4 linked regions of the Coturnix japonica genome follow. The protein of the gene in region 4 purifies or fractionates together with the protein of the main gene of each other region. This does not show direct contact. Links are inferred from orthologs where the notes say so. Each region holds a gene or a part of one and is shown on either strand. Other genes may lie near its edges.

Region 1 (7,540 bases), on a different chromosome or scaffold from region 4:
TCAGAAAGAAGAACTCCTACACGAGCTCTCAGCTCCTTCCCCAGCAATCCAGAATAGAATCGGGGAAGCCCTTCAGCTGCACTGTGACTCATCCCCGGGACACGGCAGTTATTTTTGCAGCACGGAGCGGTCGATGCACATGGGGACACGATCTGTGCCTGCTCTGCAAGAAGCAGGTACCCCAGGGCTCAGCTCCAGCTCTGGGTAAGAGCTATACTGCTGCTGTGGGTCAGCTGTTGCAGGACAAAGCAGTGCTGCCACCACACGCTGCAGCCAGCAAGAAGGCAGGCAGGATCCCTGCAGGCAGCCAACACAAGGAGGGGATAAATATTCGCTCTACATGTCCTATGTCCATCCAGGCTGGGGTTGATTTATCAGCAAACATCTCTGAACTTTCACAAGGGATTCCTGTATGTGCAACCTGCGGCCTTTCAGAGCTCAGCCAGCCCCCCCAGTGGCTGTTTGCTCTGTAAGCAGGAGAGGAGGATGCTCCATGGCCACCAGCTTCTCCAGAACCACCTCCACAGGGCAGAGGAGGGACCAGCACAGCCTCAGAGGTAAAGCAGCCCTCAAACCACACTCAGCTCATGGCTCAGCCCCAGGAGCCACGAGGACACTGTGCCTACCTCAGCAGGGCCACAAGGGGCACAGCCCCAAACTGAACTCCAAGCAGCTCTGAAGCCTGAGCAGGAACAGAGGGGTTATTATGCAACGCAGGCCAGAGTAAAATATTTATCAGAGTTTAAATAAGTAACACGCAGGAAGCCAGGCAGAAAGAAAGAGGAGTGACGGACAAAGAGGGGAAGGAAGTGGCTCATCCCTTATCACCACCAGGATGGGGCACAGCTGCCCTCAGCCCCACTCCAGGACTGTCCCCACTGTTCCTACCATGTGCCACTGTCTCACAAGGGCACTCCCTCATCTCCCAGCACCCACACTGGGATACCTGCCTGGTGCTGAGGCTGCTCACATCCCAGTTACAAAGTGAAGGCCACAGTCAGTAGAAACCTTTATTAAACACGAAGCTCAGCGGAACACAAGCTTGTTAAAGGCAGTAAGTGAAAGTGCGGCTCCAGCCTGGCCCCAGGGTCCCTCCATCCTCCCTTGGAGCCAGGGAGGAGGAAACAAACCCAAAACGCACTCAGCCTGAAGGGCTGCGCAGGAAATGAAAGAGAAAGCCTGGAGACAACATTTGGTCCTCACTGGGCCATGGGGGTCCACATATTCCCCATCCTCATAACATCCTGGGGACACCCCCAGCCCACCCCAACATTCTTCCCGCAGCCATCTGATGCCTGCAGCTCTGGGGCCAGCAATACCCTGCCGGGACCCTCCTCCTGTACCATCTCCCCCCCAGCACCCACTCCTGCTGTCCCGGGAGAGCCCCTCATGGCATAAATAATAAATAAATACCCCGCAGAGCTGGCCCCTCCCAGCACAAGGAAACCTCGCGGCACCCCCAGACCACCACATCCCCCACCCCCCCTTGACCCCTCCTGGGAAACTAAACGCTGTCCCCAAGGAACAATAATAAATTAATCCAATCTATACACAGGACTGCTTAAAGCTCTGCCACGGGCACCCTATGGCTGCCCGCAGTGGGTGGGGGGGCACCCAATGGGGACCCCTTGCTCCCCAGCATCCTCCTCTTGGGACAGGAGTAGGCCCCAATGTGGGCTCAAGCACCAAGCTGGGCTCTGTCCCATCATGGCACAGAGATGCCGGATAGGAGGGAAGAAAATATTGCAGAGGGGACGGATGGAGGGGGCCCAGGGCTGCTGCAGCACAGGGACCCCAGGAAGGCACCAGAGCCACACCAAGGCACAGGGCACCACGTGGCTGTCCTCAGCCCTGCCTGCGTCCCCCCCCTTGGCAGTGGGATAGCTTCTGAAATCAGGACAAGAGCCTCAGAAGTCCAAGTGCGTGAAGTCCCCAAAGTCACAGTCAAAGAGTTCACTGATGCCCTCACCCTCCTCCAGGCCGAAGTGGTAATCCTGTGCCTGTGGTGGTGACAGGGCAATGAACTCATCCGCCAGGAAGCCCGAGAAATCGTCCTTGGCCTGCTCCAGAAGGGTGTCCATGGAGGCCAGCGGTGACAGGCTCACATCCTCTGTGGAGCACTTGGAGGGCAGTGCTGTGCCTGGTAGCAGTGCTTCTGTGGGGACAGAGCGAGGCTGTCAGCCCCACAGCACACACCAGAACTGCTGTGTTCTAAGCTACTGAGGCCATGCAGATGGCACACAAAGCATCAGGAGTGATCAGAAACATCCAGGCCAACTGGGCAGCGTGACTCAGACCACTTGCTGAGTGGTGGGACAAAGAGGGACAGTGTCCTTTCCTAAGCAGAAAGATCCAGGGCTGTCTCTGCCAAGCTTGGGTAGGAGCAGAGCCCACAGCTGGGTGGATCACAGAATACCCCAATTTAAAAAGGACTCGCTCATAAGGATCATTGAGTCCAACTACTTGGCACTGCATGAGCATGGAGGTCAGGCTCCTCCTAACACACAGCCAAGACCTCAGCCCTGTAACCTCGTGCTCCTGGAACTGGAACAACAGTGATAACACTGTCCCCACACCACAGAGCCCAGGCAGTGCCCCCATTCCATTCCATTCCCATCCCATCCCATCCCATCCCATCCCATCCCATCCCATCCCATCCCATCCCATCCCATCCCTTCCCATCCCATTCCCATCCCATTCCCATCCCCATCCCCACCTTGCTCACCAGGCAGCAGCATGTTGACATCCTGAGCAGGATGCAGGAGCGGGGAGGCTCTCTGCTGCGATGAGCCAGGGGACAGCTCCTCAGCAGGTGCCTTGAAGGGGCTCTTGACGGGGCTGCAGACCCCTGAGCTGTCCTCGGGGCAGAGGAACACGTCGATGGGGCCCTGAGTGCTTTTCACTGAGACCTGGAAAGCCTGGGGACAGGAGGGACATGGAGTGCCAAGGTGGAGTTGTACCGAGGGCTGTGAAGATCCATGGGGAGGAGAGACCCCTCACTCACCTCTGCCGGGTCTGAGACTTGCAGCTGGGTCTCTGGGGGTGCCTTGATAACCATCACCATTTGCTCAGAGGGGTCCACAATGCTCCGAAGGTCCTGGCAGGTGACGTAGGCTGCGGTGCGGCGGGTCAAGGAGCAGACACGGGGCCACATTCACACCCAAAACCCCACACAGTGACCATAAGTGTCAGAGCAGGGGGGGGCTCCATTCCCCAACAGCTCTCCAGCCCATCCAGCCCCATCCCGGCCCCGCACCGAAGGATATTGCTGGTTGGAGGGATCCTCGGTGAGCAGCCGCAGCTGCACCGTGCACGTCTGGATGAGCTCGTCCAGCTGCCGTTCTGCCGCCTGCAGATCCCGCAGCTCCTTCTCCAGCAGCTGCTGTCGGCTTGAAGCCCCCGCGGCCACCTGGCTGCCCCTGGGGTACACAGGGCTGTCACCCCCAGCACTAACACCCCACTGCTGCCATCACCTCCCGATCTCAGGGTGGAACCCAACCTCCCTCCCTCCACCCAACCCTGGCAGCTTCGGTGTTATCCCCCCACCCTGATGGACATACATCCACTGGATGTGGTTCTTGGACTTCTTGCGGATGAGCTGGATGCCCTCCAGGACATTGGTGATGTCGTAGATGCGCCTCTTCTGCACCTTCAGCACCTCGGCCGCCCAGTTGAGATCCACCACACCATCGGGGGATTGGCTGAGCAGCTCCAGGAAGCGCTTGGTGGTGAGGTTCAGTGAGGTTTCATAGCGGGATTTCTCCCCAGGAGACTTTGCCCCTGTTGGGGACAGGTGCAAGATTCAGCCGTGGGGCGCGGGGCAGCCCCAGCACCGCCACACCCGGCAGGTGAGCAGCACCCGGCAGCTGCTGGCAATGGGAAGCTCGGGGGATGGTGCTGCAGGGCCCCGAGACTGAGCCCTGACAGCGAGCAGCCGGGCAGGGCCCAGCGCTCTACGGGGACGGCAGGTGGCAGAGGGGAAGAGGGAGGTGACGAGGCCCATCCCGAAGGGCTCAGGCCGGCAGCACAGCGGGGCCGTACCTCTGCCGGGGATGCGGGCCCTGCCGCGGGCGGCGGGCAGGCTGTCGGCGATGTACTGGTGATCCGTCTCCAAGTTCAGCTTCCGCTTCACCTGCGGGACAGGGCGTCCTCAGCGCGGGGACGCGGAACGCACCGCGGCGGCAGGGCCGGGCCCCGGCCTGTGGGGGCAGCCCCGCGCAACGGCGCTGCCGGGCGGAAGGCGGCCTCGGCGGCGGCTTCCGGAGCGGCGGTGCCCCGCGCGGCCGGGCTCTGACGGGGGGGGGGGGGGGGGTCCCGCGTGGGCACCGCGACGTCCCGGCCCCGCCCGGCGGCCCGCTCAGCCCCGCTCAGCCCCGCTCCCTCCCCCGTCCCGCGGTTACCGGCGGGCGGCCCAGCGTGGGGCGGCGCGGCGCGGGGCCGGGCTGGGAGGGCTGCGGCGTGGCGAAGAGCAGGAGGTCGGCGTCGGGGCGGCAGCCGCCCGCGGGCTCCTCGGAGGCCGAGACGATGAGGAGGTGCGGGGAGGAGCCGCCCAGCAGCGCCGCCAGCCCCGCCGCGCCGCCCGCCGTAGCCATGGCTCAGGTGACGGGCGGCGCGGGGCGCGGGGCCGCGGCCGGGGCGGGGGCGCGGCCCATTGCCGGGCGCGGGGCCGATCCGCGGGGCCGTTCCCCAGGTCGTTCCGGGCCGTTCCGGGTTGTACCGGGCCGTGCCGGGCCGTGCCGGGCTGTGCCGGGCTGTCCCGCGCTCCGGCCCCGCGCGCCTTTGCGCGCCAAATCCTTTTTGCCGCGAAAGCGGCGCCAACCTCCCCGCGCCCGCCCATTGGCTGCGCCCAACGCCGAGCGCTGAGGCGGGGGTGCGGGGAAACCGTCTGATTGGTCGAGGTCGCCGGAGGGAGGGGCGGTGCCGGCCGCCCATTGGTTAAGGGCGGCGGCGGCGGACGCGCTGACAGGCGGCCAATCAGAACCGCCGAGCTGAGGCAGGAGCCAATCGGGAGGCGTCTCGGGGACGCGGCCGTGGCGCCGCGTGGGTGAGGAGCGCGGCCGGGCCTTAAAGGGGCCGAGGGCGGCGCGGAGCTGGTCCCGCGTGGGGTCACTCACAGACGGGTCTGAGCGCCGGGCGCTCCCTGCACTGCTGGGCTAGAGCTGCCCGTGACGCTGTGCGGGCTGCGGGGCTGAGCTGCGTGTCCGTGGCGGTGCGGGCGGTGCAGGGCAGGGCAGCCCATAGTCAAAGCCGCGGGACGTGGCGTGGGCGGCTCCCGCCGTCTGTATCCCGTGTGCGGGGCGCTGATAACCTCAATGTGCCTCCAACGGAGCCCAACCCACAGGGACATAAACACCCCCCCATCTCGGTACTGCGGGGCCGGAGTTGGAGCTGCGGCCGCAGCGGGGCTCAGCGGGACGGCCGGGTTAGCGCTGGGTGCGGGCGGTGCCTCACAGCGGGGATGTAGTGAACGCTGAGCGGTGTTTTGCTGCTCGTTCTTCCTGTGGCTGCGGAGCCCACGGCCCAGCCCTGCAGCACAGCACCGAACGGCAGCACCGCTCCGCTTGGCGGCGGTGAGCGCTGTTAATTAACGCTCGGCCCTTGCGATAACCCGCACCCCGGTCACGGCGATATCCCCGTTAGCGAGTGGTACGAGCAGCAGTTACACGCCAGATGCGGCCCGTTGGTGCCGCCCCGCCCGGACACACGGTCCCACCCGCCCCGGCTGCGGGGCCGTTCCGGGGCCGCGGGCTGTGAGCGGCAGCTGCGGCACCAGCTGCTCCCACCGCGCTCACAAAGGCCGGGGCAGCTGGGGGCAGCACGGGTTTGTTTTATTCCCCCCTCCCTCATTCATACGGCAGTTTATGCAGGGGGAGCGGGCTCCCCCCCCCAACCTCCCCCGTGCCAATTCGCCGAGGCTTTCAGCTCTTGTGGCACTTGAAAAGGGCAGATGCAAAGACAAATGAAAGGCAAAACAGTCACTGCGACAAATGCTGAGGGGGGAAAGGGGGCTTTTCCCCACCCGCGGATGAATCCCACCTGGCACAGCTGCGGGTGGTGATAAGCTGCCAATGGGTGCTGAGCCCTGATAGCTGCCAGTGCTGCACTGCATCTCCTGCTGGGCTGGGGGGGGTCAGAGGGCTCTGCAAGCTGCAGGCTTGGCCAACGTTATCCCTTTGTGGGCATGATTATGGACAGCCTGTGGGTCTCTAAGGCCACGCACGGTCATCTGCTGGTGGTGGGAGCACACAGGGGAGCTGGGAGGATGCAAATCTGGACTCAAACCATCCCTGCTCTGACCTCAGGGAGGGTTTGATCACAGCACTGCCCCTGGGTTCCTGCTGGGACACATTCAGCATCCCAGACTGCTGCTTTGGATTCCTACAGAGGGACCCGACCCCACATCGTTGTCCTGCCTTCTTTCAGGTTGGAACGGCGTTTTGGGTGTTTTTCCACATGGGAGATGGCACAAGTGGATCCTGCTTCCCAAGAGTTAGGAATCCTTCCTTTCGTTGTATTACTATACAGAACGCTACAGTAGCAATTTTGCCCCCAGGATACCAGCTATGGCCTTGGATGCTGAACAGAGCAAGTTCAGCTCCTTTACTTCCTTCTCTTTTACAGTGGTATCCAATGTTGAAACTCAGTATCAACCTGCGGTCCCAGGGTGAGGGCAGCAGGGCCATGGAAGCTGCTCGCCCCCCGAACCAAGACAGCCTTGTGAAGCCCCTGTGAGCCAGAGAAGTCACTGCCTGCCTCCCAAATGAGCTGCTGAACGCTGCTCCATCCCACCAGGCTCTCAGGCTGCCTTCAGCCCAGTGTGCTGGCTTACAAGGGGAGAATAGGGCAGGATGTCTTCTGCAGAGAGCCAGAGCCATCCAGGAGCATGGCTGGGGAAGAACATCTTCTGTGCTTTAAGCTTCGTACAGCACTGGGCTTGGACTCACTGTGACTTGGACTCTGTGACTTCACCCAGCCTGAGCTCACTTCCCAGCAGGTGCACAGCGCAGCCATTGGCACCGCAAAGCCAGAGGGTGGGTGAGGCACCAGCTCAGAGCTTCACCTGGAATTATGGCTTGGTACGATATGAAAGGAAAAACAAACATTGGAAGATAAGGCTGCAATCAGCCCACAGGTGTCAGTCTGGCTTCTCCCAGCCCTGGGCAGCCAGCTCTATGCTGGGGCTGCTCAGTGCTCCCATCCCCAAGGGGCTCCCACAGCTCCCCATGCCATGGGGATCTTCTTGCTCAGGGCTTTATCTCCATTACCACAGCTCTTACCTCTACCACGTATCTCCTCTGTGTAACTCAGCTCTGAAGCAGCACTCAGATCATTTGCATGTGTACTTCTGTTCCTTAGCTAATGGGAGAGATGCACGTGGGGCTCGTGTCCTCTTGAACAGTCGCACGCTCACTGAGAGCACCTGCACGTGCTAATGATAGGCTGCAAGACACCAACAAGCAGTTTGCCCTGTAACCACATCAGCCCACATTGACTGCAATGCAAGAGCCAGCCGTGTTCATTCCTGTTCACACTGAGTGCA
Region 2 (7,407 bases), on a different chromosome or scaffold from region 4:
CCCCCCACATTCTGGGGGCTTAGGCAGGCAGCACTGGGCACATAGGGGGCAGTGGGGCTGGGGGTGTCCCTGGCTCCCCCCTGACTCCTTTCTTCCCTCCGCAGGGGGAGGGTTTACACCAGCTCCGCGAGGCTTTGAAGATTTTAGCAGAGAGGGTTTTAATCTTGGAAACAATGATTGGGCTCTATGGTGAGTAGGGGGAGCGCAGGAGGCAGCCACGGGGGGGCACAGGGGTCCCTCCATCCACGATGGGCTCCATTATGGGGAGCAGCAGGTGCCCCCTTCCCTGAGCCCCATGGGGACACATGTGTACCCCCATCCCCACACCAGGGGTGGCACTCCCCAGTGAGTGCCCCCTCCCTGGACCCATGGGGACAGGAGAGCCCCTCACATCCCCCTGGGACCATGGGAGACCCCACACCCTTTTGGGAGACCTGGCACCCCCAACGCTTGCACTGCACCCCCCGGCCCGGCTGCGCCCGCACTGTGCCATGGGGCAACCACGCTCTGCTCTGCTCTCTCACTCTCCACCAGGCCAGTAGCTTCCAAGCCCTGCTGCGGCAGCAGGCCCGCCTGGAGGTCCTGGCTAGAAGGGTCACCCTCCTGGAAGCCATCATCTGGCCAGGTAACTGCACCACCACCGCGTCAGACACCCCCCAGCAGTGGGGGGAGGGATGGAGAGGGACCCCAGAGCCACCCCTAGGAGAGACTGTTGGGCTGAGGGAGGCCCTGGAGATGCTCAAGGATCATGGAGGGACATTGAGACCTTTTTGGGCTGAGAGTGATGGCAGAGAGAATCACTTGCACCAAGGGGACCCTCCTGGGTTGAGGGAGGACTTGGATGTGTCCAAGGACCCAGGGGTTGCTCCAAGGGCTCAGGGAGCCCCAAGGAACAAGGGAGACCACAGAGCAAGTCTTTGACCGAGGGAGGCCATGGAGACACTCTTGGACCAAGGCAGACCTTGGAAATCCCCGAGGATCAAAGGAGAACTTGGAGCTTCTCTTGGGTTAAAGGGAGAATCTGGAGTCCCTCTTGGACCAAGGGAGACCATGGAGAGCTTCTTATGTTGAGGAAGGCCCATCAGGGTTGTTCTCCAAGGAGAACCAAGGAGGCACCGGAGCTCTTCTTGGTGCAAGAGATCCACCCAGTGCCCTTCTCAAACCAAGGGAGTCCCTGGTGGCCTTCCTGGGAGAGGGACACCAAGGGACACCTGGGGGCTCCCCAGGGATCAATGGGCCATGCAGACCATGGAGCTCCCAGGAACATCTCAAAGCCCAAAGGAGACCCTGGAGGAGCCCCCAGCCCCCTCACACTGAGGCTGACTCCATAACCAGCTGCCCCCTCCTGCTGTTCCCCCTTTCCAGCTGTGCTTTGCTGCAGGGGCTCTGTCCTCATCCCTGCGTGCCAACCGGGGGTGCCAGGCGGGGGGTCCTCATCCCTTGGGGTGTGGGGGTCATGCTGGGGTGGTAGTGGTGGGGGGACACTGTGAAGGGACACATGGAGCTGGGGGCACACCCAGGGCCAGCCGCCCCCTTCTGTCCCCAGTGTCAGAATGGGAGGTGTCTGGGTTGTTGGTGGCACTTGGGGACCTCATGGTGATGGAGACGTGGTGGGTTGGATCTTGTGGTGACAAGGATGTCCCAGTGCCAGGAGACCTCATGGGGGTGGAGGGACCTGGTGGTATGGGGACCCTACGGTGGGCAGCACCCAATGGGGGCACAGGGATCTGTGGGGATGATGTGGGACCCGACGGCCTCGAGACCCCACGGTGGCACAGGGGCCCCTGAGGACCATTTGGAGCTGTGACACCCCACACCCCACGGCCTCACAGCTCTCTCCTTTCCTCCTGCAGAACCAGAACCCGGCTCAGGCAGCGGCCCCGGGGGCCCACCAGCACCCAGCCCCCCCCGTGCCAAGCGTCGCCGCTCACCCCCCACCCACCAGGCTCTCCCTGGCCAGCCCTAAGAGTGCAGCCCCGCTGTGTCCCCGCTGTGTACATGGAGGTCCTGGTGCTACCCGGTGCCAATGCACCGGTCGGACCCCCCCAGCTTTTGGCCCTGCTGCTCTGCACCCCCGTGCTGGGGGGCACAGGGCCCCCACGGCCACCCCGGTGCTCGGGGGGCTGCATCCCGTGTGCCGTCCTGGCACTGCCTGGGCATTAAAGGTGTCCCCAGAGCCGTGTGTCACTGCTTGATGGGTGGGGACACGGGTGGGCGGCACCGAGGGGGGGACACCCATGGTATCCTATGACACCTATGGGACAATGGACACCCACACCGTGACACTCGTGGGACAAGCAATAGCAGCGTGTTGTCTGTGGGACACCCACACTGTGCCACGACACCCGTGGGACATCGCCCATAGCACGGCACCAGGGGGCACCCACAGCACAGCAGGGACACGCAGGGACACGCACTCACTGCTGTCACCAATGGGACACTCATAACGCACCACCAGTGGGACACCCACGCAGTGCCATGTCACCAGGGGGGCACTGACCCATAGCAGGGTCCCCACCCAGTGCTATGTCACCACTTGGATCCCTATTACAGGGAGCCATAGCCCCCCATACCCTCATACCCCCACGCACCATCACGCCACGCGTGACACGCTGCGCCCACATCCCGCCAACTCACGTGACGTCACGCTTAGCCACGCCCCCTTAGCCACGCCCACACCGAAGCCCCGCCCCCTCTCGCCGCTCCGTAACGGCGGCGGGCCGCACCACCCGCCGCTCAGCGCGGGGGGAGCCCTAAGCCCCGCCCACCGCAGCGCCCCCCATCGCCGATCGCAGTGGTGCGTCCCGCCGGGCGGGGCGGCGCATGCGCAGCGCGGGGCGGCCGCGGCGGCCGGACGTTGGGAGCGCGGAGGAGGAAGAAGAGAAAATGGCGTCGACGGGTGAGCGGGGCCGGGCGGAGCGGGGCGGCACACGGGGCTCCGAGGGGAGGGCACGGCGTGATGGGCGGGACGAGGGGCCGCGGGCCGGGCCGCACTCGGCCATACCGCATCCTTTATCGGAGCCTGGGCCTCAGGGCAGCCCGAGCTGAGGGGGGGCGTTGGGCCCTCGGTGCTGCGGCCTGTTGGGAGCCGGGCGGTGCGGGGCTGTGGGGCCGCGGTGCGGAGCGGGAGCGGCTGTGGCTGTGCTCGGCAGCACCGTGTCACTGCGCTGTGGGGGGTCGCCGTGATGCCGCTGCTGCTGGGCCCGGTCCTGACGCTTGGCCGGGTTTGTGGCGGTCAGCGAACGCTGCGAGGCCTCGTGGAGAGCGGCCCGGGCATCAATGGGGGCGCGCACGGTCGTTAGGGATGAGAGCGGGTGGGTCCGGCAACTAATAGCGACAGGATGGGGGAGGGATTTAAACTCCAATAGGGGAGAATGAGGTGAGGTGGTAACAGGAATCCGTCATTGAGAGGGCGGTGAGGCTGCACGGAGCTGTGTGTGCCCCATTCACTGCCCTGCTACAGGCCAGGGGTGGGCCCTGGGCAGCCTGAGCTGGTGGGGGGAGGTTGGGTGATATTTAAGGTTCCTTCCATCCCATTCTAAACAGCGTTTTTAACGTGATTCCATCACCTGCAGTGGTAGCAGGGTGGTGATGTTGTGCTGTTGATAGTCTTCAGGCAGCCTCTCCAAGCTCGCACTCCTCATTTTATTCAATAGAGACCAGTTTAACACAAGGTGTGGTGGCACACACTCCTCATTTTATTCAATAGAGACCAGTTTAACACAAGGTGTGGTAGCAGCAGAAACGTCAGAACCCTTTTCTGTGTGGGGCTGCCTGGCTCTGAGCAGAGCTCTGTGCACGTTTGGTTTCCGAGTCCAGCTCAGGATGCTACGAGCAAAGTCTGAACCTGTTCTTCATCTCTGTCCTTGGGACCTTTCCGGTCCTGGCAGAGCTGGAGGAGTGTCCCAGGAAAGATTTGCTCGTAGGGCTGGATTCATTGCTGCCATTTGCTCTAGGTGGGAACTGGAAACACTTGGTGGCTTGGAGGGAAAGAAAGCGTGCCCGTAGGAGCTGTAATCATTTCAAATATAGCCTGGTAATTGCCGTGTGCATGCATTTTCCATCCCTAGCAGCAAGCCAGTTCGGGAGAGGTTTTTTTTCTTCTGGTTGGATTTTCTGGATTTCAGTTTTGCTCTAAATCACACTATTTACATGGGCTGGAGCTTGGGGAAAGGAATTGCTGCCAGCTGCTGGTCGCAATCCCTCCTAGGGAAAAGAGAACTTGCCAGTGATGGGTTTGTGTCCTTGAGAGTTAAATAGACAAAGTGCTGTGTTTCGTACAGACTCAAGGGCTTACAACCTGGCCCTTTGAAACAGGGGGGTTTGTAAGTGTCAGCCCCCATGTTACCTTTGTTCCAAACCCCACTACCAGCCCCCTTGGGTGCCATCGAAAATGGCAGTTCAATTAAAGTGGGGTCATTTGAGATCAAAGTTGGTGCTGCAGACAGCAGAAACAATAAAGGGAAGAGAGGTTTTGTTTCCCTTTAGAAGGCTGAGAAAATGCATTTACCTTACTCTTTTGAAACTAGATTTCCAGGGGTTTATAGCAGTTCTTTCAAGTTGCTGGAGGAAATTCCAGCTGCTCTGCTCTTACACTGTTAATTTTGTTGAGTCTTTGTCAACCTTTCTTTCTGTTTTTGTTTCTCTTGTAGATTATAGCACCTATAGCCAAGCTGCAGCTCAGCAGGGGTAAGTAGCATTATGGCCTTTTATCATAAAAAGTTGTGATGTAAGTGTGTGGTAATTGTGGTTTAGTCTTAGCTCAGGTCTGCTTTGCAATCCCTTTGGTTTTCTATTGGATTATGTGCTGTTTTAACACTTGAGCAGAAAGATTTTGGCTTTAAAAGCCATTGTGTGATATCTGTATTGCACAAGTACTTGAATGCATCATAAACATCTTGAAATTCATTTTGCAGCTACAGCGCGTACGCACCTCAGCCAGCCCAAGGATACGCACAGACCACGCAGGTAAAGCACAGGAGGGGATTCTGACCCTTCCTGGGATCCCAGCAGCCACTTCTGAGCCCTGAAACATTCTGAGCAGCATCAAAACCTGTCATTAGGAGCTGCCTTGTAACTTCCCACACAGCCTGTGCTTAAAGTGAAACTGCCTTGATGTCTGGGAGCTTCCACATTCTCTTCCTTGTTAATATATCCCAGTTGTTGCCAAGAGGATTATAAAAACCTAATTCTTGGTGTACGTTTAACACTTACGTGTCGGAAGGGTGTTTTACTTGGTGGTGTGGGAGAGAGAAACCTGAAAAAGGAGTAAAAGAAAGGGGAAATTGCCATTTGTTTGATGGCAGCACTTGGAAAAGTTAGGAGGAGAGGATGGATTTCTTCCTTTTTCATGGAGCTGTTGTAGCTATTAGTATTGTAAGTTGGCTAAACTGCAAACTGCTGATGATCTTTCAGAGATGAATGATGCCTTTTTTTGTTTAATCCTTAGAATCCAAGTTACTGAAACCACAGTTATATGCAAAATACGAGTGTGGTTTTTTGAAGTCAACTTGGTTGACTTTCCCCAGCATCTCCAGACAGTGTTTTTTTTTTTTCTCAAAGGAAGATCCTGCCACCCAAAAGCACGTCTGTGTTCTGCACACAAAAGCTGTTGTTCTGGAGCATTACAGAGCAGAGCTAACTGGGCTTTGTGCTGCTGCCCACAACTGCCAGCTTGATGCGGATACAGAATCACACAGAATTACCCGGGTTGGAAGGGACCTCAAGGATCACGTAGTTCCAACCCCCCTGCCTAGCAGGGCCACCAAACATACACCTTTACTAGATCAGGTTGCCCAGGGCCCCGTCCAACCTGGTCTTGAACACCTCCAAGGACGGGGCATCCACAACCTCACTGGGCAGCCTGTTCCAGGACCTAACCACCCTTCTAGTACAGAACTTTCCCCTAACATCCCTCCTTCAACTTAAAACCATTTCCCCGTGTCCTGCTATTATCAGCCCTTTCGAAGAGTTTACTCCCCTCCTGGGAGTAAGTTCCCTTCAGGTCCCATTTGCTTTCCGGGCCGCCAGAGCGCACTGCTGGCTCATGTTAAGTTTCTCATCTATCAGGACCCCTAGGTCTTTTTCAGCCGAGCTGCTCTCAAGGACAACTCCTCCCAGCCTGTACAGGTGCCTGGGGTTCTTCCAGCCCAAGTGCAAAACCTTGCACTTTGCCGTGTTGAACCTCATTAGGTTCACCCGAGCCCAGCTTTCCAGCCTGTCAAGGTCCCTCTGAATGGCATCCGTTCCCTCCACCGTATCGACTGCACCACTCAGCTTGGTGTCATCAGCAAACTTGCTGAGGGTGCACTCCATTCCCTCATCGATGTCATTAATAAAGATGTTAAAGAGCACCGGTCCCAAGACAGACCCTTGAGGGACGCTGCTCGTGTCCGGCCTCCGCCTGGGCGTAGAGCCATTGACCACCACCCTCTGTCTGTGGCCTTTCAACCAATTGCTTATCCATCTAGTTGTCCACCCATCAAATCCACCTCCCTCCAATTTGGAGATGAGGATGTGATGGGGGACCATGTCAAAGGCCTTGCTCAGGTCCAGGTAAATGACATCGGTTGCCTTCCCTTCATCCACCAACACCGTCACTCCATCATAGAAGGCCACAAGATTAGTTAAGCATGACCTTCCCCTGGTGAAGCCATGCTGGCTGTCTCGGATCACATGCTCGTTCTTTATGTGATCAAGCATGTTGTCCAGGAGGATCTGTTCCATAATCTTCCCAGGCATGGAGGTGAGACTCACCGGCCTGTAGTTACCCGGGTCCTCCCTGCTCCCCTTCTTGTAAATGGGAGTGACCTTCCTCCAATCATCCGGGACCTCACCTGACAGCCACGACTTCTCAAATATGATGGAGAGCGGCTCGGCAACCACCTCAGCCAGCTCCTTCAGGATACCTCTGCAAAAGCATCACTGTTACAGGAGGGGCAGAGGTTCAGTCTTGGCATCTGGGTCAATTGAAATGGAAACGACAATACTTAACATATTTATTCAAAATGAAAAGAGAGAAGAACTGCAAGAACTGCTGCTGAAAGCACAGGTTACGCAGAAGGTGTAGGCAGCCTGGCAGATATAAGAACAGGAGGTTTCAGCATCCTTTAGTGCAAGGCTAACAGCTCATACTCAGCAGCAGGCAAGTTGCCACATGAGGTTTGTAGCATCTCATGCCTCTGGGTGCACTGAGCTTCCATGGGTAGTGGAAAACTCAGTCTGAGCAAAGTTTTTCTCTTTGAGATCTGTTGGCTTCATTAAGGTCTGTATTGCTTGTGTGCCAGGGAGTCTGGCTCACAAGTTACACGGGCTTAGATCCCAAAAGGCATTTTATTCCCAGAAGCCAGTGGATATCTCTGAAAATCTGGACGTTGAGGAGGCTTGTCTTAGTGCTTCTTGAGCTCT
Region 3 (7,358 bases), on a different chromosome or scaffold from region 4:
GTTATCTGAGTTAGGTGGGGGCCCCTCTTGCAAATCATGCTGCAGTTACTGAGTTTAGTCAGAGACCAACACAGCCATGCAGAGGAAACCTGCACCAGGAGGAGGAAGGAGAAAGAGGAAGGGGTATCGCACGGACCTTTTTCCTCTACAAGGGTAAGGAAAGAAAAGAAAGGTGAAAAATAATAATAATAAAAGGAATAAAAGCAGCAAAACTTTGGAGAGAAGAAAAAAGGCCCCAAGTCATCTCCCCACCCCAGCCTGCAGGCCACTGATTCTAGCAGGGCACAGAGAACCAGCCCTGTGCAGCAGGTACCTCCTTGAGGCCTCGGTTCTTGATGTTCAGTTTCTTGGCATTGACGAAATCAAAGAGCTTCCCGTACTCCTCCCTATAGCAGAGACAAAGTGGTCAGGGACAGGTTGAGCTTTTTACACCTTGTTACATCAGTAAGGATCCACCACGTGTAACCAACATGGAGGACACAGGGACAAGGGGGCTGAGTGGCAGGACAGAGAACAGCCCTGTGTTACAGTAAGAGCTCGCTCCGTGCCCACCTCTCTATGCTGCTGAAGGTGTACTGTGTGCCCTGCTTGGTCTCGATCTCAAAGTCAAAGGAGCGGGTGGTGGTGGTCCCACGGGCAAAGTTGACAAAGGAGATCTCATCAAAGCGGATGTGTACTGGTGGCTTGTGAACGTAGATGAAACCACGCTCCAGTGGGTAGAGAAGTCCTGAGCTGGCCTTGTAGGAGCAGGTGATGCACTGGGCTCCAGAATGTCTGTGAGGGCAAACATTGCCATGTCACATCAACAGGAAGCAAACAGCCCCACAGTGAGACAGCAGCTTTGTTAAGTCCACCAACCACCCCCACGGGGTAAAATTCTTGCAAAACCCCTTCATCCTAACTACAGAAAGAGATGTTGGCCCTGCTGTCCAAGTCAGGAAGGGCTCTCAAGCAGCTGGCCTGAAACCACAGAAACAAGAAGAATGTCCTTTCCTAAGGACAACAAGGCAAATTTTGCCTCTGCCCCTACCACCATGCACGCCCTTAGTGTAAAAAGGTCCCACATTCCCTCGCCCAGCCAGAAGCAACAGCATGCCTCACCCCTGGAAATTGCCAGGCACAGTGATCTTGCGGTTCACCAGTGCCTTCATAACCCGGCTGACCATCTCATAGAGGGAGCCTGACATGTTCTTGGTGAGCCGCCCCTCAAAGCGTTTCTCCACCTCTTCCCTGTGTGGCAAAAATAGAGGATAATGACAAAAGTAGGGACCAAGGAGATTCATTACCTGCACTCCTAGCTCTCCCCACAGCCCCCAGATCCAGGGAGGGGGAGAAGGGAGTTGCCTGGAGAGAACTCACTCATTCATGTTGAGGGTCAGTGAGATGTCTTCATCCTTTGAGAAAAGCAGGATAAGGAAGTGGTAGCGGGTCTGGCCCTGCTTTATCGGGGGATCCAGGCTAATCTGAAAAGAGAAGAGGAGATGAGGACCCAAAAACCCTCAAAACAATTTCCTGAGAAAGGGAGGACCACTCAACCCCTCCTCACCACAAAGAACATCTGCCTTTGGTCCTTGTGTGGGAGCAGGAAGAGGCGCAGCACAGTGGTGTAGGGGATTTTGTAGTCAAAGGTCTTGCCGTGGAGGTGCAGGAAGGTGGGGTAGATGCGGATGTCGTATCGCCCGCGAGGCGTCAAACACTGCAGCTCCCGGAAGATGCAGATGGCATCACCAGTTGCCTGAATCACATCCGCCTTGGAGAGTACATTCTGAGCAAAGGCCTATAAGGAGAAGGAGCTGTGGTCAGGCACTAGGCGAGGGCAACCAACTAGCCCTCCTGTGCCTCACTCACCTCCACAGGGTCAACACCATCCTCCTGGGTAGGGGGGACGTAGAAGCGAACCTCCATGAGCGAGACCTCAGCGTCATCGTTCTGGTGGAACTCCAGCGTCACTTCGTTCTTGCCCGTCGTGCACTGGGAGACATTGCTGAGGGGGATCTCAAACACCGGCTGCTCCCCGATGTCAAAGGAGAGAAGCTGCCCTACAGGAAGTGGGGAGGGATAAGAACCTCAGGTCAACCCTGCTGGGCAGACCCAAGGTGAGTTCCATCCCAGATCCAAACTCCAGAAGCAGCATCGTTCTTCTCTCAAAACCCAGCAGTGCCTCCCCTCTCCCTCCCTTCTTTTCAATGTTTTCAACGCAGATATCCAGGCTTTCTCCTCCCAGCTACAGTAACAGAGAATTATATTGATCAAAAACAAATAGGCTGTTTATTCCCCTCTTCCTCCTCTCTCAGAGCAGGGAGGGGCATTCACCAGCTCTTCTGGCTCCCTGAGGAATTGGCAGGCTCTATTAGATGCTCACAGCTCCCATGCAGATTTCTCTTTTACATTGAGCATTCTCTGCCTACCCCCACCCCGAACATGCTGTGCTGCCTGCAAGTATCTCCTGCTTTCCTGGGATGACCGACATCCATACTGTATCCAAAACCACCACTAAAAAAGGGAGCAGTTTTCCAGAGGAGCATCTAAAGCTGTCAACAGCCAGGGGCTGGTGGGATGAAGACACTGACCCACCAGATGCCCATCCAGCCCCACCACCTTGACCTACACACTGCAGACTCTCTTGCTCCAGCAGCAGCATCACCGCTCTGTTCCTGTCTTACCATAACTCACCTCCAAACCTCACTGTGCCCCAGTTCCAACCCTTCACACACAGGTCCTTCTCAGCCAGCTCCAGGCGATAGTGTGCCTTGAAGAAATCTGAGAGCTTATCAAACTCCTGTGAGGGGTGGGAAAGAACAGAGAAAAAGTGAACGCTCATCAGAAACTGCTGTGTACGCATCAGCACGACCCAGAGCCTGTAACTGGGACATTGCCCATGGTACGAGAGAAGTGATGAGAAAAAAACAGACATCAGCTGCTGTTAAAGGGAAGGAGATCAGCTCTGTGAGATATGGCAGATCCTGCAGGCAGTGTAACCCGATACAGAGCAAGCAAAGAGACTGTGGCACAAGCGAGCTGAAGAAAGGATGGTCAGCATGGCTCAGACAACAGTCAGAAACGGCACGGACTCACCGATTCCCGGAAACCATCGTATTTGTAGACATGGCCATTCTTGGTGAGAAGCTTGAGGCCGTGACCGAGCGCCACACGCCGCCACACACCCTCTGCCAGCTCCGAGGCCTGGATGTTGTCCACCTTCCCTGTCTTGCTGTTCTTGAAGATGACGCCCTGGCGGCTCAGCCGCAGCCGGCCATCGTTCTGGTGGGAGGTGGGTGTGAGGTACAGGCAGCTTGCCCCGTGCACATGGAGGGGAGCAGCCCAAGGGTGGGAACTTCCACGCAGCACAGACAGCTGCTAAGCTCTCCCAGGGGACGCAAAGCGAATTCCCCAACCACCCACCAGTTTCTGTTCTCCATGCACTCCTTACCACCCTCCTTTGGGATTCAGGCAGCCGGGTTGCCAGCAGCCTCGGTACTAGAGCTCCATCAGGCATTTAGGAACAGTCTCCCAGATGCCACAGGGTAACCCAGAAATGCTCAACATCACTGCAGCATGGCACTGCGCCCCACCCCCCCAAGCACTGGAACAGGCTGATTTACAGCACCCAGCTGCCCAGCAGTAGCTACTGCATCAAAGGGTGAATGCTTGAAGCTGGCATCCCTTCCCCTGGACACGTTCCCAACCACAACCTTGCTAGCTCCGCAACAGGCTGCTACTAAAAGCCCCTGTTGATGCTCCAAAATGCTTCAGCTCTGGAAACAAGGCGCCTCAGCTCCCATTTCCAGTCGAGCTCAGCAAAACAAGCTCTGCCAGGACAAGGCAGCGGAAGAGCTGCAGGGATGGGGGGGGGGGGGCCATACCGCACCCCTGGGTGTACAGCTGAGACCAGGCCTCAGAGCCACACCGTGTGCCTCCAGCCTGTGAGATGGGGCGAGCACTCCTGGCATCAGGCAGCACCCCAGATAGCTGCCCCCAGCACCGAGCTGCTCACCATGGATCCCTTCACCTCCTGGTAGATCTCGTTGAACTCCAGCGTGTCAGCCATGACGAAGGGGGCCGTGCTGGCAGGCAGGCAGGAGGAGGCCGGAGTTCAGCTCCGTGCCGAGGTCGGCATGCCCTGCTGCCACCGAGCAGCGACGTGCTGGGGGCGGAGGAGGGGGGAGAAAGTGAGTACGGACATGGGAACCCCAGAGCGATCCGTGAGGGATGTGACCCCACAGCAACACCCCCCCCTTAACGCCTCCCCGGGGCTCCCAGGGCCGTTGATCCTCCCGTCCCACTACAGAAGGGGCACAACAGCCCTGAGCAGCCCCTACCACCCCTTGTTCCTAGGCCCCACGCCCCCATCCGCCGCCCCACAGCTCACACCGGCCGCCCCCCCTCCCATCACCCCCTCCCCCCAGCGCCCTCCCCACCCATCACCCCCCCCCCGTCAGCCGACCCCTCGTTTCCCGCCTGCGCAACACGAACCTCGCGCGAAGCCGCCTCCCCCCACAACCGCCTCCCGCGCCGCGGCCGGAACCCGCCCCCACTTCCGCCATAGAGACGAGCCGCCGCTCGGCCGCTCTGGCATGGAGGCGGCGGGGTGGAAGGAGGGCGGGCTAGAGCGGCCGCTCCCCGAAGCGGCGGTCTGTCTCACCTGGAACCATAGAGAGGAGGGAGGCCTCCAGCCGGAAAGTGGGGGGGCTGCTTCCCATTGGCTGAGCCGGGTGATCCCCGTGACGTTATGGTGGCTGTGCCCGGCACATGGCGGGTCGGGGTACAGCTCTAATAGGGCACTGCGGAATGGGGGTACGGCCAACGTGGGGCACCCCGCGTAAAGGGCAGCCCTACAGCGGGACACAGCGATATGGGACCCGGCCAGGCGCTGCGAGATGGCACACGGGGTCCGCGAGCACAGAGACACCCGGAGTGGGACCATCCCGAGTGCGGGGCATTAAAAACCAGAGTCACACTATTCAACACAGGGCACACAGCAACAACAACAGGGCATACAGCCCCCAACAACGGGGCACACAGCCCCAACAACAGGGCACACAACCCCAGTAGGGCACACAGCCCCCCAGGGCACCCGGGCAGCGCTGCCCCGTGTAGCACCGCCGCACAACCAGCCCTCTCTCACCGCCTCTCTCAGCCCTCCCCCCACCCACATCCTCCTCCCCTCCCTCCTCCTCCTTCCCCCCGTGCCCCCTCCCTCCATCTCCCCCTGCCCCCCCTCCCGCTCCCTCCGTCCTGTGCCCACCCCTCTGCACCACCCCGCCCGCATCCCTGCCCACATCCCCGCATCGCTGCCTTTATCTGCCCGCATCCCTGCCCGCTGCCTGTATCCCTGCCTCGCTCCCTGCGTCCGTCCCTTCCCACCGCCCGTATCCCCACCCGTATCCTTGTGGAGCCCCTGCTTGTGCCCCCGCCCGGCTGCCCATGCCCCCCCAGCGCTCCCAGTCCGGCTGCCTGGCTGATTTCTTCTCCTACGAGACCACCAAGTCGGTGGTGGTGAAGAGCTGGGTGGTGGGCGTCGTCAACCGGGTCGTGCAGCTCCTCATCCTTTCCTACTTCATCGGGTGAGAGACCCTCCCAACGGGACCCCGCTCCTCTGCTGGTGTCCCCCCACCCCTCGGCAGACGCTGCTCCCGGTGTACACGGTTTCCCTGATGCCGTGGTGACAAGCTGGGGACCGGGAGGGTGACACCGAGAGGGGACGTTGGGTGGGTGCATGATGTGGGGTCAGGAGGGTGTCGTGGGAATGGCAGCTGCCCGCTGGGTGTGGGGGTGGGAACCAGGCTGTGAGAAGTGATGACAGCCACGGGCAGAGGGGGACAGGTGGCTGGCAGCGTGTCTGCGATGGGGACACCAAGTGACACAAGGGAAGGTGATGGGAGGGTGGCTGTTGGCGTGGATGATGGAGAGGAGAGGAAGGGATGGATGTTGAGGAGCATATTGAACCCCATGGGGTGACACAGGCAGGTGACAAGTGGCTGTCGGAGGGCTGGTGACAGGAGGACTGTCTGCGGGTGGCAGGGGGCCAACCAGCTGTCCCCATAGCCTGACCCCTCCACCCCACAGCTGGGTGTTCCTGCATGAGAAGGCCTACCAGGTGCGGGACACTGTCATCGAGTCCTCGGTGGTGACCAAAGTGAAGGGCATCGGGAAATATGGCAACCGCGTCCTGGACACAGCAGACTACGTCACCCCCCCACAGGCAGGAGACAGCAGGGAACCCACCCCGAGCCCTCCTACCTCGTCTCAAATAACCCCAATAGTCCCCGTGTGGCATGGGGCTGGAAGGGGGGTGGTGGTGACACGGTGTCCCCATCACCGCAGGGCACCTCGGTGTTCGTGGTGGTCACCAAGCAGATCCTGACGGAGAATCAAGAGCAGGGCGTCTGCCCAGAGGTATGGAGACACAGGGGGTGGCATGGGGGGCACCGGTGTGCCCCGACCCACAGACACCCCCCCTCCACAGAGTGAAGCCACATACCGGTGTGCGTCCAACCGTGACTGTCAGGGGAAGGGCCGCACCACAGGCAGTGGTGAGTTTTAAGGGAGGGGGATCCCAAAAACCACAGGGTTTGAGCCCACCCGCATTATGGCCACAGGGGTGCTGACAGGACGCTGCATCCCCTACAATGTGACCCTGCGCACCTGTGAGATCCGGGGCTGGTGCCCACCCGAGGTGGACACTGTCGATGTGTGAGTGTGCAGCAGCAGCAGGAGGGGGGATAAACACGGTGCCCTCTGCCCCATTCAGGACCACCACCTCTCTCCCCACAGCCCTGTGATGCTGGAGGCTGAAAACTTCACCCTCTTCATCAAGAACAGCGTCCGCTTCCCACTGTTTGGCTTCGAGAAGTGAGTGGCACTGAGGGCACACGGGATGGGCTCTCACTGCTGGAGGCTCACAGCCGTGCCCCCCCCCCCCTCAGGGCCAACCTGCCCCCCCATGTCAGCGCAGGAGAGCTGCAGCGCTGCCGCTTCCACCCCGAGCAGCAGCCGCTGTGCCCCATCCTGCGGCTGGGGGACGTGGCACGCTTCGCCGGGCAGGACTTTGCCGCACTGGCTGCCACCGTGAGCATAAAGGATGTGGGATGCGGGGATGGGGAATGTGGGGACAACAGGGTAGGGGATGTAGTGACTGGAGGTTTAGGGCCGGGGAGACCTGGGATGTGGTGTGCATGAATGCGGGAATGGGGACATGGGGTGTGGAAATCGGGGATGTGGGGACATTGGGACATTGAGGTGTGCGAACAGAGGCTTGTGGTGTGGGGATGCAGCAATGTGGGACATGGGGATGTAGGACATGGGAAAATGGTATGGTGGGGATGTGGGATGTATATGGTGGGCCATGGGGCCACGTG
Region 4 (6,797 bases):
GGAGGGATGCATTGTTTTGGTGTCTGTGCTGCTATTTCTGCACAGTTTGTCCATTGATTAGGGAATGGCTGAACTAGCACTTTGTACTAACATTATTCTAAAAGAGGCTCTGACTGTAAGATGACTAAACTTGGGCTGGACTTCCATCCTCAAATTCTTACTCTGTTTTTGAAGCTCCATGATGAGTGAAAGCGCCAATGTTGCTAGTCTGGGGGCTATGCCAACAGCTCAGCCATCCAATACAGGAATTCGAAAGCAGTGGCATGAAGATATTACTCAGGATCTCCGAAATCATCTTGTTCATAAATTGTGAGTAGCTAGTAACAAAACAATGGGCTGGGATGCAGAGCTTGTAAGGGTCAATGAGAAGGAAAGGCAAGAAGTGTGATGGGAGGTGTTCTTGCATTTCTTGTCCTTCATGGAGATGCACATGCTGCTTTGGGGCTGTTGTCTGGGAAATGTTCCATTCCATACTGAGCCCATCAACACACCTGGAGCATCACTCAGGGACAGCAGCAGTGCCTCAGTCCCTCAAAAAATTGCTTATTGCTTTCTGTTCCTATCAGTTGGGGTTAGTGCTGAGGTCCAGGTTTGGAAACATCCTAATAGCTTGCATGCTTTTTCTTCAGAGTCCAAGCCATATTTCCTACACCTGACCCTGCAGCATTGAAGGATCGGCGTATGGAGAATCTGGTGGCATATGCTCGGAAAGTGGAAGGCGATATGTATGAATCAGCAAACAGCAGGGTAAGATGCTGTCTTCTGTCACCTGGTTGTGTATCTCTAATCCCATCTGGTAGTGGTTGGAGAGGAAGAGGGGTAGAAAACAGAGGGTCCCAGAGCTGCTGGCTTGAGTCTAGGAACCAGCCAGCTGCAGATGTGCTGGGATTTGGGATGGTGCCTGTTTTGCTGTTCTATGCCTGAAATGTGCTGGATGAAAAGAAAAATTTTGTGTGGTGCCCTGATGATTGTCAGTTCCTGTGTTTGCCCACAAACCTCCCTGCCAGCCCTGCAGAGGGGAAGCTTCCTCCCTCCTGAGTTCGAATGTGCATGTTGAAGGATGTTTTCCAAGCTTTGCTGAGTGTGACCTGTTGCCTTATTTTAACGTCTCCTTCCCTTTCCTGGATTGTATTCCTCTCCCAACAGGCAGAGTATTATCACTTGCTAGCTGAGAAGATCTATAAGATTCAGAAGGAGCTGGAAGAAAAGCGAAGAACAAGGTTGCAGAAGCAAAACATGATACCAAGTGCTCCAGGCATGCCACAAGCTCCTGTGAATCAAGGACCTAACATGGGTCAGCCTCAGCCAGGGATGTCTGCAAGTAAGAACAGTTGGGTTAGTTGTTGCTTGGTACGGGTCAAATATATAGTGTTTTTCTGGTGTGCTGGTGAGCATTTTGGCAGTATTGTTTCATTGATACCTTGTTTACCCATCGTTAAACTGAACTTATTCATCTCTGTTTAGGAGTACTTGCAACATCTTTGTTTTGCTTATTTGTTAATTAATGACCATAGATTATCTAAAATTATTTGGTCTTGTGAGTATACTGAAGTATCCTAACCCTGTGTGCTAGATGAGAGGAGATAGAGGACATTGTAGAAATTCAGTCTCATTAATCTCACTTCTAGAATTGACTGGTAGTGTCTGAAGTTAAAACACGTTTTAATAGTATTTAACTGTCTGGTGTTTGAAATGATTATTGTTGCTGCTAAGCAGGAAGTCTGATAATCAAATTGTTTTCTACAAAATGTATTACTTATGCCTTTGAAAGTTCAGGTAGTGCTTGCCCTGTGCCATGTTTGTTTGTCGTGTTTGATGGTTTGGTTTGTTTTTTTGAACAAATAATTCTTATAGTGTGCTGTGACAACCAGGTTTCATTATTTTTCCCTATGTAGTTGTCTTGTGTTTCACAGTAGTTCTGTTAATGGACACTTATAATGCTAAACAGGTTATTACTATTATATTTCCTTATAACTAGGCATTTGCATGTTGAAGTGACTTTGGAAAGGAGCTAATGATCAAAGTTGTAATGCTACTGAGGACTGTTATCTTTTCACAGCATTAGGAAGTTATAGGACACAGTAGGCTTTGCCAGGTAACAGGTGAAAACAAGTAACACTAGTTCTTGCACTTGATATTTCTCTTCCATTCATTCGTTCCTGCATGGTTTTTAGATACTTCACAGTTAAAAACTGAGCTCTGAAGATGTCTAATCAGAGTAGATGTATAGCAGTCAGTGACAATATAATAAATTGTCCTAAGAACATGGAGTCAAAGTCAGAATTAGTCAGTTGAACAGGTAAGAATCAGGGGTTATTTTTCTTATGCTGCACGATGATCCAGTAGTTCCAGTGATATGCTATAAGAAGCTTAATCTGAGGGGTTTTTCTCCTTTTTGAATATGAATGTATATTGGTAATTCCAGTCTGGATCTTTTCATACTTGAACTTAGAACTGGGTTTACCAATATGCATTACCAAAAAGCAGGAAAGGCCTTTAAGATTGGTACTATGAATTTATTTGTTGTAACTTCCTCTAGATCAGGAGTAGATGTGATATTTTGGTTGTTTATCCCATATGCTAGAAGAACCAAACTTTGGAGATTTGATAAAGTACATCAAACCAGCCCATTTTTATAGTGTTTTCAATCAGGAGGTGCAGTAATAGCGTAGAGTAGTTTGCATAAATTCCTGTGGTCTGGAATGTTCACAAGCTGCTGAGTTTTTCATTGTACCTCAATAACATATTTCATATTTGTCCACATTTTAAAATCTGTCTGCAAGTCAGAATATCTTTAGTTAACTGGATATCAATTGGGTTTTACCTCATACTTGAGGGACTCTTAAGTATGCTTAGTTTAAAATTACTGGACAGTGTCCATGCTTGTTTTTTTTAACTCTTTTTTACAGGAAGATTTTCACTAGAATGATTAAAAAACTGGTGGTTTCTAAATGCCATAATCTTATTCCAGAATCTTTTTTTACAGATGGTCCTATAGCTGACCCCACACTGATACGTGCTAATGTGCCAAATCAGATGATGAATCGCATGCAGGCACAGCCAGGTAAATTTTATATGAAAATTTGCTACTGTGATTGTGAAAGAATTGTGGAGTTAGGTAGCTCTTGCTGAAGTGTTGTAGCCTTCGTTTCACCTGCTGTATTCCCACTTGTCCTGTACAGCCTGCTGTAGGGAGCCTTCTTTGCAGGGGGGTTGGTCTTGATGATCACTTGAGGTCCCTTCCAACCCCTATAATTCTTTATTCTGTGAGACCAAGAAAATAGATCTGTGCTTTATATACATATATGCGTGTGTGTATATAAATATTTGTGTGCGTTTCTGTGCACAGTGTTGTTTCATTTTCTTGGAGATGTGAGCTGCTTATTACTGCTTGCTTAGTTAAATGAGGAACTTAATTTTTTTTAAATTATTTTTAAGTTTCTGTGTGAACATGAGATGGTAGACCCGATCAGCTTAGGGTGAGGGCATGTCCAAAGCAGAGGGAGGATGATGAAAATTGCTGCTCTGGGGTAGAACCTTGGTTGTATTTTCAAGAAGTATTGCAGCCAATATAAGGAGCACTTAAATGAAGATTCACAGTCAGGATTTGCAATAAATTAACTTCTAGTCATTAAGATAATGCAAGCTATCACAAATTGTATGTGGGATTAAGTCCTTCAGGGGAAAAAAAGCCAATACGTATTCTGAAATAGCTTCAGTGCTTAGTACTTAAAATTGTTCTGTTAACTGACCAATAGGAGAAGAAGGTATTTCCATTACGTGCTTTCCATGGCATGACTGGAAATTTTTTCTTTAAAAAAAAAAAAAAAAAGAAAAAAAAGAAACTGACAGCATTCTTCAAATGTTGAATGGCGCCCAAAGGAGAATTCAGGCCTCTGATCATAAGTGGTTTTTTTTTTGTTGTTTGTTTGTTTGTTTTTGTCACAAATGTGCAGGAATGAATCAGTTTGGCCATATGAACATGCAGCTGTCACCAATGGGACCCCGGCAAACTCCTCCTCTTCAGCACCCTGGACAGCTAAGCCAGGCCGGGGCCATGAACCAGGTCAGTGTGCTTCCCTTCATCTTGGGTATTCAGCTCATGGGTTTCTGCTGTTGTGCCTTCCTTAAAATAAGCAAACAAAAACAAATACAATTTAAACATTATTCCTGTGTTCTGTAGGCACTTTGGCTTCTTATTTCTGCAGTGCCACAGAAGATGTGTCTGGTATGTGGTCAGCCTTGGTGATTTAATTAAAAATACATGTAATTTCCTTCACTGAAAACTAGGTTAAAGTGGAGTTTTGGGCTATTGCTCTCCTGAAGCAAGGAACAAATTGAAGTCACAGTCTGAAATCAGTATCCCTTTGGTTTGCAGATGTCATAATTTCTAACTTTTGAGAGTTATAGTAGACCTTCCATACTGTATCCTATGCATAAGTATCAATCAATCACACAATTTCTGAGGTGAGATAACTGTTTTTATAACATACGACAAAAGTATATGAAATAAGTTCCTTTCTTTTCCAACAGATGGGATTTCCTTCACGTATGCAACAACCAGGAGTTGGCCAACCTTCTGGTCAAAATCAGTTTCTGCAGCAGAACCCATTCCCTGCTTCTTCCCCAGGAATGAATGCAGCGAGCATGCCTATGACACAAACTAGCAATCAGACACCAGTTTCTCAAGTAAGTTTCCGATTTTTGGAGGTTGTGTTAGTGGGCTCTGTCATATGATGTTTTTTTATGTTCAAGTTTGTAATAATGGAGAATAATTTGTTTTATCAAGATGCTATTGGAGCTGTAACCATCTGAATTCATTTATTGAGGCTCAGCATTTTCCTGGCTATTGTGCTGGTAGTGGTATGGGTAAAATGTTGGCTTGTTCTCAGGCTTAAGTTTAAGTGACAGAGAATTATTTAAGTTTGTATCTGTGAAGGAAAGAGCTTGTTGCTCGTATATCTTGCTCATATAGTAAAGAACAGCAAAGCAGTAGAGACTGAGAAATTAAAAGATGCTGGAAGAACAAGGCTTAAAAAGGCATGTCCAACCACAACCATCAAATGTATTTTGCTGCCCTTTGGGGAATAGGATGGTTGTCACTACTAAAGATTGGAACTTCCAGTCTAGCAGTTTCTTTTCTGTCCTTTCCCTCTCCCTTTTCAGTGAGAACCTTTCAGGCCAGGAAGAAGTAGGGAACGTCAGTTTGCTTCTCGTTGATGCTTCTTCCTAGTTTGCAGGCAAGATTATTGTGAAGTGACAGCTTTTTTTTCTTGACCAGTACATCTTTTTGTAATCTCATAGCGCAGTTGCAGCTATATGTATTTCTGATGATAAATTCAGTTTCTAGTCTTGTGGGTGGGGGCATGGGCACACTGTATTTGAATCCATTCTTTCCACTGTCATGTATCGCCGCATATTCAGGGTGTACATATCTGCATTTTTTGAAAGAAATGTTTTGCAAACTGCAGGTGTAAGTGTGTCATTCTTTGAATGTATCGATGAGTATTATTTACTCTGAAACTTCTGTTTTAGAGCTGAGTATACTACAAACAGCTATATGTTCAAGTGATACAAAATGAAAAGCCTGTTTCTCCTTTTGAAATATATATATATTTTTAAGTTTGTCACTTTTTGAAAGAGTATGCCAGTAACTGTGGGAAAGCAGCCGTTTTAACATCTTTCTATTTGAAGTCATTGCAGATGTGTACTTGTTTTCCCACAGGCACAAATGAACAGCTCTTCCTGTCCTGTGAATTCTCCTGCCATGGCTCCAGGCTCTCAAGGGAGCCATATTCACTGCCCACCTCTTCCACAGCCTCCCATGCACCGAAATTCTCCTTCTCCAGTACCAAGTCGAACCCCAACACCTCACCATACACCCCCAGGCTTGGGATCACAGCAACAGCAGGCGGCAGCAGCTGCCACCACTGTCCCCACCCCTACTCCTCAGGCAATACCACCTGGACCACAGTCACAAACTATGCATCCCCCTCAGAGGCAGACTCCAACACCTCCGCAGGCACAGCTGCCTCCACAAGTCCAGCCTCCAGTTCCAGTTGCCCCCTCTGCAGAGCAGCAGCAGCAACCGTTGTCACAGCAGAGTACAACAGCGTCAGTTCCCACACCAACAGCACCACTGCAACCTCAGCACCCCACAACACCTGTAAGTAAATATTTTAATTGAACAAATGGGCAAATGTAAGGTTTAGGATCTGGTATTTCCACAGAGGAAGTAATTCTTTTCATGCATGTTGAGAAATGCACAGTGAAATATGCATGGGAGGTCATTAGTTATGTCTGCATATGCATAGTGATGGCATAGAATAGGGAAACAATATGAAATTATATACTAGACCTTCCAGTGAATGTCTGCTGTGCTTTCTTCTATAACTAGACTTGTGTTAGCAGTATGTACTTCAGGTTAAGCAAGTGGAAGTACCAAAGTGAATTTGAACTTGATGGAAATAAGGTTATAGGTAAAAGGTAGATCAGAGCATAGAAAAATAATAGGTTAATTAGAAGTCTGTCTGTAATGTGTTTTGGTTTTTTTTGTTTTGTCTTTTTACTCCTTAGCTGTCACAACCAGCTGTAAGCATTGATGGGCAGGTGTCCAACCCCCCATCCACCAGCAGCACAGAAGTGAGCTCACAGCAGACTGCAGCAGAGCAGCAGCAGCCACCTTTGCAGGAAGTGAAAATGGAGATAAAAACAGATGAAGGGGAACCAGAACAAACAGAGCTGCAGATGGAGGAGAAATCTGAGGTGAGCTGTCGGTTTGTTGTTGGAGAGAATAA

The links. The genes of interacting proteins can lie anywhere in the genome.
Region 1: the proteins of EP300 (region 4) and E2F1 purify together in Homo sapiens (affinity purification with western blotting, with the first as the bait; 3 studies listed by BioGRID). This does not show direct contact. The link is inferred for Coturnix japonica from reciprocal best matches to the Homo sapiens genes EP300 and E2F1.
Region 2: the proteins of EP300 (region 4) and EWSR1 purify together in Homo sapiens (affinity purification with mass spectrometry; 3 studies listed by BioGRID and IntAct, with this or other methods). This does not show direct contact. The link is inferred for Coturnix japonica from reciprocal best matches to the Homo sapiens genes EP300 and EWSR1.
Region 3: the proteins of EP300 (region 4) and SSRP1 purify together in Homo sapiens (affinity purification with mass spectrometry, with the first as the bait; 3 studies listed by BioGRID). This does not show direct contact. The link is inferred for Coturnix japonica from reciprocal best matches to the Homo sapiens genes EP300 and SSRP1.

Annotation. Positions count from the first base shown.
Region 1 is NC_029535.1:1,931,749-1,939,288, reverse strand, and holds E2F1 (transcription factor E2F1), read right to left. Parts: upstream 4,608-7,540; 5' UTR 4,593-4,607; coding exon 4,401-4,592; intron 4,133-4,400; coding exon 4,042-4,132; intron 3,781-4,041; coding exon 3,561-3,780; intron 3,420-3,560; coding exon 3,267-3,419; intron 3,120-3,266; coding exon 3,005-3,119; intron 2,919-3,004; coding exon 2,726-2,918; intron 2,156-2,725; coding exon 1,908-2,155; 3' UTR 997-1,907; downstream 1-996. UniProt on the Homo sapiens protein: Transcription activator that binds DNA cooperatively with DP proteins through the E2 recognition site, 5'-TTTC[CG]CGC-3' found in the promoter region of a number of genes whose products are involved in cell cycle regulation or in DNA replication.
Region 2 is NC_029530.1:9,975,768-9,983,174, reverse strand, and holds the start of EWSR1 (RNA-binding protein EWS), read left to right. Parts: upstream 1-2,800; 5' UTR 2,801-2,823; coding exon 2,824-2,899; intron 2,900-4,652; coding exon 4,653-4,689; intron 4,690-4,916; coding exon 4,917-4,968; intron 4,969-7,407. Other genes in the region: EMID1 (EMI domain-containing protein 1), read left to right, coding at 105-189, 1,854-1,966. UniProt on the Homo sapiens protein: Binds to ssRNA containing the consensus sequence 5'-AGGUAA-3'. Might normally function as a transcriptional repressor. EWS-fusion-proteins (EFPS) may play a role in the tumorigenic process.
Region 3 is NC_029520.1:7,752,211-7,759,568, forward strand, and holds the start of SSRP1 (FACT complex subunit SSRP1), read right to left. Parts: upstream 4,608-7,358; 5' UTR 4,474-4,607; exon of another isoform or gene 4,445-4,473; intron 4,145-4,444; 5' UTR 4,049-4,144; coding exon 3,995-4,048; intron 3,262-3,994; coding exon 3,076-3,261; intron 2,780-3,075; coding exon 2,674-2,779; intron 2,040-2,673; coding exon 1,849-2,039; intron 1,778-1,848; coding exon 1,547-1,777; intron 1,464-1,546; coding exon 1,360-1,463; intron 1,231-1,359; coding exon 1,102-1,230; intron 775-1,101; coding exon 553-774; intron 387-552; coding exon 314-386; intron 1-313. Other genes in the region: P2RX3 (P2X purinoceptor 3), read left to right, coding at 5,425-5,564, 6,067-6,202, 6,325-6,396, 6,467-6,533, 6,600-6,693, 6,775-6,852, 6,927-7,068. UniProt on the Homo sapiens protein: Component of the FACT complex, a general chromatin factor that acts to reorganize nucleosomes. The FACT complex is involved in multiple processes that require DNA as a template such as mRNA elongation, DNA replication and DNA repair.
Region 4 is NC_029516.1:45,419,613-45,426,409, reverse strand, and holds part of EP300 (histone acetyltransferase p300), read left to right. Parts: intron 1-174; coding exon 175-309; intron 310-629; coding exon 630-747; intron 748-1,146; coding exon 1,147-1,321; intron 1,322-2,986; coding exon 2,987-3,064; intron 3,065-3,956; coding exon 3,957-4,066; intron 4,067-4,533; coding exon 4,534-4,689; intron 4,690-5,725; coding exon 5,726-6,166; intron 6,167-6,576; coding exon 6,577-6,765; intron 6,766-6,797. UniProt on the Homo sapiens protein: Functions as a histone acetyltransferase and regulates transcription via chromatin remodeling. Acetylates all four core histones in nucleosomes. Histone acetylation gives an epigenetic tag for transcriptional activation.